Linked DNA regions of Oryctolagus cuniculus. The protein of the gene in region 2 purifies or fractionates together with the protein of the main gene of each other region. This does not show direct contact. Links are inferred from orthologs where the notes say so. Each region holds a gene or a part of one and is shown on either strand. Other genes may lie near its edges. The genes, in order: PPIE, CRNKL1 and CCDC12.

What was found.
Region 1: the proteins of CRNKL1 (region 2) and PPIE purify together in Homo sapiens (affinity purification with mass spectrometry; 3 studies listed by BioGRID and IntAct, counting the BioPlex papers as one, with this or other methods). This does not show direct contact. The link is inferred for Oryctolagus cuniculus from reciprocal best matches to the Homo sapiens genes CRNKL1 and PPIE.
Region 3: the proteins of CRNKL1 (region 2) and CCDC12 purify together in Homo sapiens (co-immunoprecipitation; 3 studies listed by BioGRID and IntAct, with this or other methods). This does not show direct contact. The link is inferred for Oryctolagus cuniculus from reciprocal best matches to the Homo sapiens genes CRNKL1 and CCDC12.

The regions. Positions count from the first base shown.
Region 1 is NC_091438.1:133,125,589-133,129,174, reverse strand, and holds part of PPIE (peptidyl-prolyl cis-trans isomerase E), read left to right. Parts: intron 1-1,061; coding exon 1,062-1,185; intron 1,186-3,586. UniProt on the Homo sapiens protein: Involved in pre-mRNA splicing as component of the spliceosome. Combines RNA-binding and PPIase activities.
Region 2 is NC_091442.1:44,670,182-44,674,196, reverse strand, and holds the start of CRNKL1 (crooked neck-like protein 1), read left to right. Parts: upstream 1-1,151; 5' UTR 1,152-1,269; coding exon 1,270-1,320; intron 1,321-2,742; coding exon 2,743-2,895; intron 2,896-3,639; coding exon 3,640-3,731; intron 3,732-4,015. UniProt on the Homo sapiens protein: Involved in pre-mRNA splicing process. As a component of the minor spliceosome, involved in the splicing of U12-type introns in pre-mRNAs.
Region 3 is NC_091441.1:101,793,068-101,797,157, reverse strand, and holds the start of CCDC12 (coiled-coil domain-containing protein 12), read right to left. Parts: upstream 2,857-4,090; 5' UTR 2,688-2,856; coding exon 2,645-2,687; intron 2,437-2,644; coding exon of another isoform or gene 2,260-2,436; intron 2,032-2,259; exon of another isoform or gene 1,951-2,031; intron 1,869-1,950; coding exon of another isoform or gene 1,826-1,868; intron 667-1,825; coding exon of another isoform or gene 551-666; exon of another isoform or gene 352-550; intron 229-351; coding exon 86-228; intron 1-85. Other genes in the region: NBEAL2 (neurobeachin-like protein 2), read left to right, coding at 551-666, 1,826-1,868, 2,260-2,436.

The DNA.
Region 1 (3,586 bases), on a different chromosome or scaffold from region 2:
TGTGTTCTGTGTGGTGCGCTGCTCAGCTCTGTGTGGTACAGATTTGTGATTACCAATGACAAGGAGGAAGATTGGGTGCTCGTTTCCACCATTCCTGACCCGCCTCCTCCTCCACTGAAGACTGGGCTCCTCCTCTGCGTCCACGTGGCCAGTTTGTGACTCTTCAGGGCTCACTGTAGAGGGCAGAGGGGCTGGTACATGAATGGGTCTGCTTAACTGGAGTACGGTGGCTGGGCTTGAACCAGTGTTGGAAGTTGGTGAGAGTTGTGCAGTGGGGGCCAGAAGAGTGTGCTGTTCTGTGACTGCAGGGCAGGGGGACGCAGGATGATGAGACAGCGTGCCTGGAACTGGGGTCGAGTGAGGTAGTGCTGAGGTCTCCTGTCACTGCATGTGGGGAGCAATCCGGACTGGACTGAGTTACTGGAATTAAGACTTATTCTATGCATCTGCTCTCCCACAATATGGCGCTGGGAGAGAAGTAAACAGCTTCCGCACAGCTGCCTCCAGTTCAACCAATTAACTGTAGGACTTGCTCCTGATTGGAGAGCAGCGTACTCGGCGTGTGGGCAGCCGAGTTGGGATTGGCGGAGGAGGACTACAAAGGAGGAGAGAGACGGCATGCACCGGGAACATCTATGGGGAACATCTAAGGGAACCCGTGCAGCCCCCGAGAGAACCGGCCGGCGGTGTGCCGCTCCCCTGCGGAAGTGGGGAATGCGGCCAGGGGGAACTGCCCTTCCACGGAGGTGGAAGGGATAGTAGCCAACCCGGGAGGAGCCGGCGGCGAACCCGGGGAGGGCCGAGCAGATGAAAGAACAGTGCAGGGTCCTGTGTCGTTCCTCCATGAAGAGGGGGAGCGACAACTGCATGTCCAGCTGGGTGCTGTGGCCATGGCTCGTGCCTCCTGTAGCAGTGTCAGGTCCAAGACCTTTCCTGTCAGCACCTTGCTCCAGCCTGCTTGCTGGCGTTGTGTTCTGGGTGTTTGTGTGCAGGGCGTTGTCTGTGCTTGTGTTTGGGAAGTCAGGCATTCTCTCTAACCAGCACTTTTCTTCGGTACCCAGGGAGAGCCCACTGCGAAAAAGGCCCGGTCAAATCCTCAGGTGTACATGGACATCAAGATTGGGAATAAACCAGCTGGCCGCATCCAGATGCTCCTGCGTTCAGATGTTGTACCCATGACAGCAGGTGGGTAGGCCTCTGTCTAGGCCAGCAGGAAGCTGTAGGCGACCAGTGACAGACTTCTGCCTCACTTTTGGTACCCTTGACGATTTTGTTGTTGTTGTTGTTGTTTTTTAAACCTGAATCAGTTTGAGGTATCTCATTTCCTGGAATCTAGTAACAGAGTCAGAGCAGGTATTTTTGAGATTGTCTTAAGTGGTAGATTACCTTTTTTTTTCTCTTGCATTATTAGAGAGAGAGAGACAGACAATTTTTATCCACTGGCTCACCCCCCTCCCCCAAAAGCCCACAACACCCAGAGCTTCAGGCCAAGCCAAAGCCTGGAACCGGGAATCCCATCCTGGTCTCCCGTGTCGGTGGCAGGGTCCTAAGTACTTGTGCCATACTCTCAGGCACGTTAGCAGGAAGGTGGCTTGGGAGCAGAATAACCAGGACTCAAACTGGCACTCCAATATGGGATGCCAGCATCATAAGCAGCGGCTTAACCTGCTGTGCCACACTCTAGGCCTGCAGACAGTTTCTTGATTGTCTCTTCTAGTTTGTTAAATATTGACTTTTTATTATAAATTTTTATTATTTATTTTAAAGCCAGAGACAGATCTCTCATCCTCTGGTTCACTCCCCAAATGCCTGCTATAACTAAGGCTGGACCAGGCCAAAGCTAGGAGCCAGTAACTCACCATCACCTGCTACCCCCTCTGACGTGCATTAGCAGGAAGCTGGAATAGAGAGTGTAGTCAGTTCTCAAACCCAGGCACTACAATAAGGGATACAGTTGTCCCAAGCTGTATTAATGCTATGTCAAATGCCCGAGTCAATTTCACAAAGCCAATTTGTAAAACTGGTAGTCCCCTGGTGCTGTGCTGCACCTCACTCCACTGCCAGCACCATTTGCTGCTCCTTACAGGCAGTTCATTTCAACTCTTGGCCAGTTCCTTTGGTTTTTGCTTCCTGAAGTTGTAGGTTTCTACTTCCTGGTTTTTCCATTTTAGACATTATTTTTTTAAGATTTATTTATGTTACTGAAAGGAGGAGTTACAGAGAAGCAGAGGCAGAGAGAGAAAGGTCTTCCATCTGCTGGTTCACTCCCCAAGTGGCTGCAAGGGCTGGAATAGGGCTGATCTGAAGCCAGGAGTCAGGAGCTTCCTCCAGGTCTCCCACATGGGTGCAGGGGTTCAAGGACTTGGGCCATCTTCCACTGCCTTCCCAGGCCACAGCAGAGAGCTGGACTGGAAGTGAAGCAGCCGGGACTTGAACCAGTGCCCATATGGGATACCAGCACTGCACACAGTGGCCTTACCTGCTACGCCACAGTGCCAGCTCCTAGATATTATCTTTTGACTTCCTACTTGAATAGAAGGAATTATTAGCTTTTGAAAATCTAATGGGGCCGGCGTCATGGCGCAGTGGGTTAATCCTCTGCCTGCGGTGCCAGCATGCCATATGGGCACTGGTTCTAGTCCTGGCTGCTCCTCTTCCAATCCAGCTCTCTGCTATGGCCTGGGAAAGCAGTAGAAGATGGCCCAAGTCCTTGGATCCCTGCACCCACATGGGAGACCAGGAAGAAGCACCTGGCTCCTGGCTTCGGATCAGCACAGCTCTGGCCATTGCAGTCATCTGGGGAGTGAACTAACAGAAGGAAGACATTTCTCTCGGTCTCTCCCTCTCACTGACTGTAACTCCACCACTCAAATAAATAAATAAATAGATCTTAGAGAAAAGAAAAGTCATTAAAAAAAGAAAAGAAAAGAAAATCTATTGCCTCGTATAGGTTCCATGACTGTGGTTAGGTCGTTGTTTATTTTACCTATGTAAGCATATGATAAACGTATTCCATGCACAGCATTCTGTTTTGCCTGGAATTATCACCTGTGTATTTACTCCTGATTCTCTCCCAAGTCCTCCTGCTGGGTTTTCTACATACAGCTGTCTGCCAGCTTGTGAGGGCAGGGCTGAATGCCTCCATGTTCAGTACCTAACCTTCTACCTTGTCTCCCTTTGTCATGATGGTGCCTCAGCCCTCAGCCATCTGCTTTTCCTCACCAGAGAGTAGATCCACCGGCAGAGGCAGCCCTCGCTGCAGGGTCAAGAAGAGGAAGATCTAGGGTTAGCCACTCCTTGAACAGGACTTCAGCCAGGCCTACTCTTCTTAGAATTACCTTCTCCCTTGTATTGAGCTTTTGGAATGTAAATTCAGTTGCTTCTTGGTTTTTGCAATCTTAAAATCAGCTTTTTTAGATCTGCTTTATCATTTATTTGTTTTCTAGCTTTCAAAAATGTTTTTGTTATGGTCTCACCACTACCCCCTTTTAAAAATTATTTTTGGATATTTTAATTATTTTAAGTATATGTTAATTACTATGTTGTACCATAATCACTGCTACCTATTTTCAGGATTTTTTTCATC
Region 2 (4,015 bases):
TGGATCAGCCCAGTCCGGACTTTGTGGCCATTTGGGGAGCGAACCAGCGATGGAATACCTCTCTCCCTCTCCTTCTCTGTAGCTCTACCTCTCAAATAAAATCTTTAAAAAGACGACAATCTGACAAATCTACATATTATCCAACTGCTCGATATTCTAGAAAATGCAAAAAAAAATTTTTTTTAATCAGAAGTTTCCTGGAGTTTGGGGGAGAAAGGGATGAACAGGGGTGGGATCTGAGGGTGTGAGGGGGAGCTGGGCGATACCACGGTTGGATTCGCGTCAGCACGCCGCTGCCTGACCCTACAGGGCGCACCACGCCAGGAGAGAGCCCCAAACTGCGGACTCGGGAGAGGCGCCGCGGGCCGGCTGGGCGAGTCGCTTTCCCTCTGCTCAACTTTGCTGCGAGGCCAGGAGTCCCTTCCCAACCTCCTCGGCACCGCTGGCCTCACTTCCCTGCCCCTGAGGAAAGGTCGAGGGCTATCACTGAGAACCTCACAGCTGTGTTTCCCTTCCATCTTGGGGAAACCGGGCGAAGCTACGAGCCCCGCTGCGCAGCCGAGGCCCCTGGCCTGAGAATTTCGGTGACCGGGGCACACCTGAAAATGTTAAACACGTTTCTTACCGCAAGGCGGGGTAGTTCACTAGTTATTCTGCTCATGTGTTCTCACTTTTTCCTAACACCTGCCTTGGAAAAGACCCGGGATTCCAGGCTCCAGAGTTTAATTAGCGGCGCACTATTGGCCGAGAACTGGAAGCTGTGGGCACGGACGTCGGAGACTATAAAGCCCAGAATGCAACGCGGCGCAGGCTCCCCCTGGGCACGCCGGGAATGGTAGTTTCCCCTCCGTTCCTGACGTCCCCGGCCCTGCAGCGTCTAGAGCAGAGGTTGGCTCCAATTCCCTATCCAGGCGCCTCGGCTGAACACACGAACCCGTTCTCCTAGGATCATCCCAGTCCCAGAAGCTGATCTGGGAGTGAGCCTTTGACACCCTGGATCCAGTCCCCGCGTACCCACCTCAACCCCAACTCCAGGACGCTGAGCTCTGCTTCCAGCTCCGAGGAGGACGCGCTGTCTAGTTACCACGGCAACGGCTCTACCGTGGTCATGGCGCATGCGCGAGGTCAAAGGTCGTCCTCGGGAGTTCCGCTTCCGGTTCCGGGAATCCGTCGGTCGGTGGGGAAGCTTTTGTGGTGTAGGCGAGCCTCGGGGAGCCGTTTCTGTTGTCGGCGAGGGGAGCTGGTCTCCCGAGGTCCGTTGCTGCAGACATGGCGGCGTCCACCGCGGCTGGGAAGCAGCGAATTCCTAAAGTGGCCAAGGTAAGCGGCAGTGCTGCTCTGTGTGTGTGCCCGCGGCGAGGCACAGCCGGCCGCGGGCTGCAGTAGGGCGGTCTGTGTGGGGCGCTGGTCGCGCCGGCCCCGGGAGGGCGCGGGCAAGGGGGGTAGACTGACCAGCCGGAGTCCATCAGCGGCGGGCCCCGGCCTGAGTCTTCGCGGGTGTCCTTTTTCCAGCCCCTTGAACTTGACCTCTTCCGTTCACGCAGCCAGTAATGCGTGTCAGGTGTTTGCCCTGAGTGCTCGTGTCGTGGGTGCTGTCTGTGCGTCCCAGGACGCATTGACTCCTGCTGCTGGGGGCCGGCGCTGTGGTGTAGAGGGTGAAGCCGCCGGCATCCCGTGTGGCCGCCGGTTCGAGTCGCGGCTGCTCCAGTTCCGATCCAAATCCCTGCCGATGCGTCTGGGAGAGCAGTGGAGGATGGCTCAAGTGCTCGGGCCCCTGCAGCAGTGCAGGAGACCCGGAGGGAGCTGCTGGCTTCAGCCTGGCCCAGCCCCGGCCGCTGTGGACATTTGGGGAGTGAACCAGCAGATGGCAGCTCTCTTTCTCTCTCTGCCTTTCAAATAAGTAAATTTAAAAAAAAAAAAAAAGTTTCTTAAAATTCCATTCCATACATTGTTATTGAGTGCCACTGGCCCAATAGCAATAAAGGAAGCCTGTTTGTAACTTAAAATTTTCTCTTAATCGCGTTAGAAGGTAACAGTAAACAGGTGATGTTAACTTTTTTTAAAGATTTATTTGAAAGGCAGAGTTATAGAGAGGCAGGGACAGAGAGAGAGGTCTTCCATCCGCTGGTTCACTCCCCAGTTGGCCTCAACTGCCAGAACTGTGCCAATCGAAGCCAGGAGCCAGGAGCTTCTTCTGGGTCTCCCATGTGAGTGAAGGGGCCCAAGGATTTGGGCCATCTTCCACTGCTTTCCCAGGCCATAGCACAGAGCTGGATTGTAAGAGCAGCAGCCGGGTCTTAAACCAGTGCCCGTGATGCCAACACTGCAGGCAGCGGCTATACCCACTATGCCACAGCACCTGCCCCCTTAGATAAATTTTTTTAAAAATTGTTAAAAAAAAAAAAAAGTTGTGATGTTATATGAATACATCTTAAAATCTCTGGTGAGAATTTTACCTAGCAAGCCTCAAAGTTTACCATTTTACTCATTTAAAAAGGAAAAGTCACTATTGCTTTTTCCATGTTTTTTCTCGTGAGACTTTGACCTACTGACTTGTAATGGGTACTGCGTGTGAAATGGAAAACATTTTCTTCAGTGTTGAGAAATGGACACTTGTCATCCAGAGGGGGCATCTTAGAGTCTGCGTTCTGAAAACCGTGTGTTTGTTTCTTAAACCCTATCTGAAGAGTGTCTACCCAAATAGAAATGTCTAAATTTTCTTTTTTCTTTTTTATGAAAAAGGTCAAAAACAAAGCTCCCGCTGAAGTACAAATAACTGCTGAACAACTCTTGAGAGAAGCGAAAGAAAGAGAACTTGAGCTGCTTCCACCTCCACCTCAGCAGAAGATCACAGATGAAGAAGAATTAAACGATTACAAGCTAAGGAAAAGGAAGGTAAGTCTGATTTCTCTCTGTCTCTTTAGTTGTTTAGAATTAAAGGGCAGAGTTTGAAAAGTTCCTGATCGGTGAGAGTCTGTATGGTTAAGACGAGGTTAATGTTCCTAGCTCTCTGGTGAACTAACTGCTTTTGCTGAACTATATAAAAATAAACTGAGTTGTTAACCTAAAATACAAAGCAGTTAAGCCTGCCAGAGACGTAATTTCTGGTGCTGAATCAAAGATGGCGGAAAGGTTAGCAGGTGGAAGACGCACAGGTGGGAGAGGCGTGTCCTTTGCATGGCTGGCTGCCGTACTTCTGTGGGTAAGACCTAGCACAGAGTCGTGAGACGATGTTGGGTCTGATCTGACCTCCTCACTCGGGAATGTGAGATTATTTTAGACCTCTCATCATGTCCCATCTAGTGAGCTATGGGTGAAATCAGAGTTACCAAGAGGACGTAAAGTTACTTTGCAAAAGCATTGCCTTATTGGAAGCAAATATAAAGTGTGTCTTGAGCAACGGGAGGAAACACCAGCAAGTCTGCCTGCAGTTCTTCTTAGCCAAAGTTTTGTTTGGATGTAAGAGTTTGAAAAAACATCAGTAGTTGTAACTTCTGGTGTCTGATTCGTCAAGGATTCCAGTATGTCATTTCTCTTTTAAAAGAGAACAAAATAATAGTGTTTTTAGTACAAGGCTTATAGTAGACAAAAGGTGATGCCATTTTCCCATTTAATTCAACCCTTTTTGCTGCCTTCCAGACTTTTGAAGATAACATAAGGAAAAACAGGACTGTAATTAGCAACTGGATAAAATACGCACAATGGGAGGAGAGTCTGAAGGAGATTCAAAGGTAAAATTGCTTAGAATATAACACAAAGAAATTGTAAGTTAACCGTTAAAGTTAAATCAGAAGTAAAAAAGTGTACTTCTGCACAGTGGGTGAAGCCACCTCCTGTAGCACCAGCATCCCGTATGGGTGCTGGTTTGAGTCCCAGCTGCTCCACTTCTGATCCAGCTCCCTGCTAATGCTCCTGGGAAGGCAGCTGAAGATGGCCCAAGTGCTTGGGCCACCTGCCAGCCACAGGGGAGACAAGGATGAAGCTCCTGACTTCTGGCTTTGGCCTGACCCAGCCC
Region 3 (4,090 bases), on a different chromosome or scaffold from region 2:
TTCCCTGAGTCCCTTGCCCTCCAGCCCCCTTCCGGCCCCTGAACGTTGACTGCTTGAGCTGCGGCCCTCATTTCGCATTTCTCACCTTACGCCCGGTTTTCTCCCGCAGGGCCCTCAGCCTCTCCTTCCGCCGCAGAGCCTCCTCCTCCAGCCGGCCCACACCGGCCGCAGCCGCCGCCATGTTGCCTACCGACCCCCTCCTTTTCTGTCGTGATGTGTCGCGCTGACCTAAGGAAAGTAGATGAGTGTCTCGCGGCCAATCCGAGGGCGAGAATAAGGGAGCCGGAAGTGTGGCAGGCCAATCAATGCTTAGTTGCTACGGGAGGGCCCGCCCCGCTCCCGCCGCGCCCCCGCCGCGCCCCCGCCCTTTTCCTCACAAGCAGCTCGGCTAGCCCACGGGGTACCGGCCAGGGGAGAAAGAAGATGCTAAGGCTCAAGTGTCCAACTCTAATCAGTGAGAAAACAGCAAATCGACTCAGACCTGAGGGGCGGAGCCTAGCGTGCGTCGATCTCTTGGGTTTTGCCTGAGCACTTAATCACGGCTCACCTCATGCCGGCCTCTTGGAGTGCCCTGACCCATCCTTGTGCACTTGTCCTGAATCTTCAGGGCTCCAGTGCCTTCCAGAAGCTTTCCTTGACTCCACTCCGATCCCACCCTAACCTGAGGTCAGTCTCTTCCCTCCTCTGCTGCTGTCAGTGGCTCCTCGGACTCGCCTCACCAAGTACCCTAAGCCCGTCTGTGGCCATCACTGTCGCTCGAAGCCTGCAGCGTGGACGGCGGTTTCCCTCCGGGGTTCACAGATGATACCCTGTCACCCCCACCGCCTCCTGGAGAGGCAGAGTACCCGGGGCAGGCTGCCTTCCCTGGGAAGAGCAAACTGCAACAAGACCCAGTTAGCCCCAAGGAGCCACCTCAACCCCCACCCCCACCCCCAGCTTAGGGAAAGTCGGTTGGGCCTCGACTGGAGCAAGTGCATGGCCACAGGTGTCTGGCTCCCCGGCGTCTTCTCTCTACATTAGTCAGTGCGGCCTGATAACAGACCACATCAGCTGTGGTCAAGAACTGTGAGCCCGGCAGGGTCCTCAGAGCCACACCCACAGGGGACGACTAGCCTCTGAGCAAATCTGCGGCCTCCCTTATCAGGCCGGCTGCAAGCAGTTGTTCGGGCCTCCCATCCCAAGTCCCATGGCCCACAGACCCCCGTCTTGACTTCATGAACCTGCATCTGTCTAGGCCCTGTCTCCTGCCATGGGGGCAGTGCTCTGCCAAGGCCTGGCACACAGCTTGTGGCCGCTTAGGGACTGTCAGCTCAGAGCCGGGATGCGCCAAAGGCCAGGCCGAAGGAGCCACCCGAGAGGCCAGGAGAGGAGACAGGGTCTGTCTTCTCTCGGCCACCCAAGATCTAACGGACCGTAGGTCTGCCAATTCCTAGGACTAATGGCCGAGAAACTTCCATCCGCCCTCCCTCAACAAAGAACCTGACTCCCGCTCAACACCGGGGGCCTCCTCACTTCACAGGCAGCCTGGGCCCAAGCAAAGAGTCAGTCAGGCCTGTGTCCCCATCCCAGCTGCCTCTGGCGGCCAACCTGGTCGTCTTTCGGCCTGTCTCAGTATCTCTACGGACACGGAGGCACGAGGCACCCCCCCCCATGAGGTTAACAAAAGAAGTCAGGCAAGGGCTGGGCCCTGGCGTGGGGGTGGGGGTGGGGGGGCACCTCCAGGAGGAGGGGACCTTGCCCTCTGTCCTTGGACAGAGCCCCCCAGAGGCATTCCCGGCTTATCCTGCCGCTTTTCTCTGCTCTTCCTCATCCGCTCTGCAAACAGCAGGAGCTCAGAAGCAGCCTTAGAAGAACGCCTGGCACGCGTGGTAAGCAGCCAGCGATTCTCACGAGGGAGGTTATTATGGGCCCCAGACCCTGTCCCCAGCCCTGTCGCCGAATGCCGGTAACCTCAGCTCTCTGGTACAGGCAGATCCGACCCCATGTCCCAGGGTCTCCGAAACGCCTCTCCACAGCCACTCGTGGGGGCGCGGCCCGCGGGGAGAGGGGGGCGGGGCGCCCTCGCGTCCCCTCCCGGATCTCAGGCTCCTCCTCCCGCTGGGCTCCCCGCCCTTTTCACGGTCCCAGGAGAGGCGGGGCGGCGGTGGCGGCCGCGGCGGCGAAGTGCAGGAAGCCGAGCGGGGGGCGGGGGGGAGGAGGAGGAGGGTGTCGGCTTGGGTGGCTCAGTGCGGCGCGGACTAGAGCCGTGAACTTCCCCAGCAGGACCGCGCTGCTCCTCCCCGGAGTGACGCCCTCCGCCCATGGGCCTGGCCGGGGGCAACCGGCGGGCGGCGCGGAGGAGGCGGCGACAGGTGGCGCGCAGCTGGGCCGGAGCCGGGTCAGGCCATGGCCGCCTCCGAGCGGCTCTACGAGTTGTGGCTGCTCTACTATGCGCAGGTGAGCCAGCCCCGCGCAGCGCTCGCTGTGCCCCCAAAGCTCCGCGCGGCCCGCGCCTGCTGCACCTGCGCCCCGCGCTGCCGGGGCTGCGCCTATGAAAGCTGGGTGTGCTCCGGCTCCGCACACACACGTGCGTGTCCCCTGCCGGCCGCTCTGGCGCTTAAACTGGGCGGGGGGGGGGGAGGGGGGCGCGGTGCGCAGTACTCACAGGTGTGCACTTTTACAGCAACGGCTACAGCAAGACCGCACATCCTGAGTCTTGCAGGGAGAGGGGCATCGCTGAGGCATTTACAGAGGGGGAAACTGAGGCTTGGAGCCAAAAGAGCCGTCTGAATTGAAGGGGGGGGGTGGAGTACTCAGTTTGCCTGTGGGCTGCTCCTGCTGTGGACACAGCCGGTTGAGGGGTGGTGGCCATCGGGCCAACTGGGCTGGAGGTCTGAGCAGGCACAGGTCTGACCTGAGTCACGAGTCCCCAGAGAACTGGTGGTCATAGGCTCCTCCTGGAGTGGAGGTAGCCCCACCCCTCTCCCATTCTGGGGTGGGGCGTGCTGGGGGGGTTGAGGCAGGAGAGATGTCTGAGAGGGATGGAGGGAGGCCATTGCCTCTGGGCTCCCTAGCTCGCTCTCAGAGACTACTTCAGGAGGCCTCAGAAGCAGAGGGGAGTGGCCCTGACCCTGGCGTCCCTTGAGCTCTGTCCCCACACATAGGCCCCCACTTTCCCTCGGCAGCCACGCCTCCCTCCCTGCACCTGCCTGGCATCGTGCTGCTGGCTCAGGTGTGCCCTGGGCACAATGGGCCATTGTGTGCCCCTGAGCAGCTTCTCACCGAGAGGAAGTTAACGTTCAGCCCAGCTGGCCCTCCTGAAGAGGCTGCCCAACGGTCTCTGAGGCACCTGTGGCTCAGGCCATGGGAGCCACAGCCTCTTTGGTTGGCCCAGGTCGTGGGCTGCCCAGACCCCCAGCAGGAGGCAGGCCTGGTGTAGCAGAGTCCCTCTTCGGGGAGACCCACATCAAGCTCTTTGCAGTTCTGAGCCCCTACTTCCCTGACTGTGAAATTGACACAGTCTTGATCTGAACAAAGTGGGTAACACTTGGACTTGCCGCTGCGGCCAACTCAGGCCAGAGAAGGCTCCTGCTTGCCTGTTCCCATTGAGTCCTCTAATCTGGAAAGAACAAAAGGTCTAGAGGGAGGCTACTCCTGCCCTCATACCTCTGATTGCCTGTGGCTGTGGCATGTTCTTGGCTTAAGCCACGTGATGAGTCTGAGGGATGTTCCTGGTAGGTCTTCAGGCTGGGGAGTAGGCTGTTGGGGTTGTCTGGGTACAGTCTCCCAGCACACCCCCCAGGACCATGGCCTCCCGATGCCCCCCGGAGCACCCCATCCTCTCTAGGTGTTCAGCATTCATGTGTGCTGAGGCTGCCTTCCCCTGCCTGCACACCTCCCAGGACAGGTATGGGGGCACAGGCTGGAAGCCTGGGCAGGCAGGGGGCAGCCCGGGGCCAGGCAAACAAATCCAGGATGTAAGAGCAAACTCGGGATCCGGGCGGGGCCAGGCCGCCCGGGGAGAGGAAGCGCTGGTCAGCCTCCCCACGCTGCCTTCCTGCCCGCCTGGAACAGAACAGCTTCCCCACCCCTGTGTGCTGTACTCCCAGGG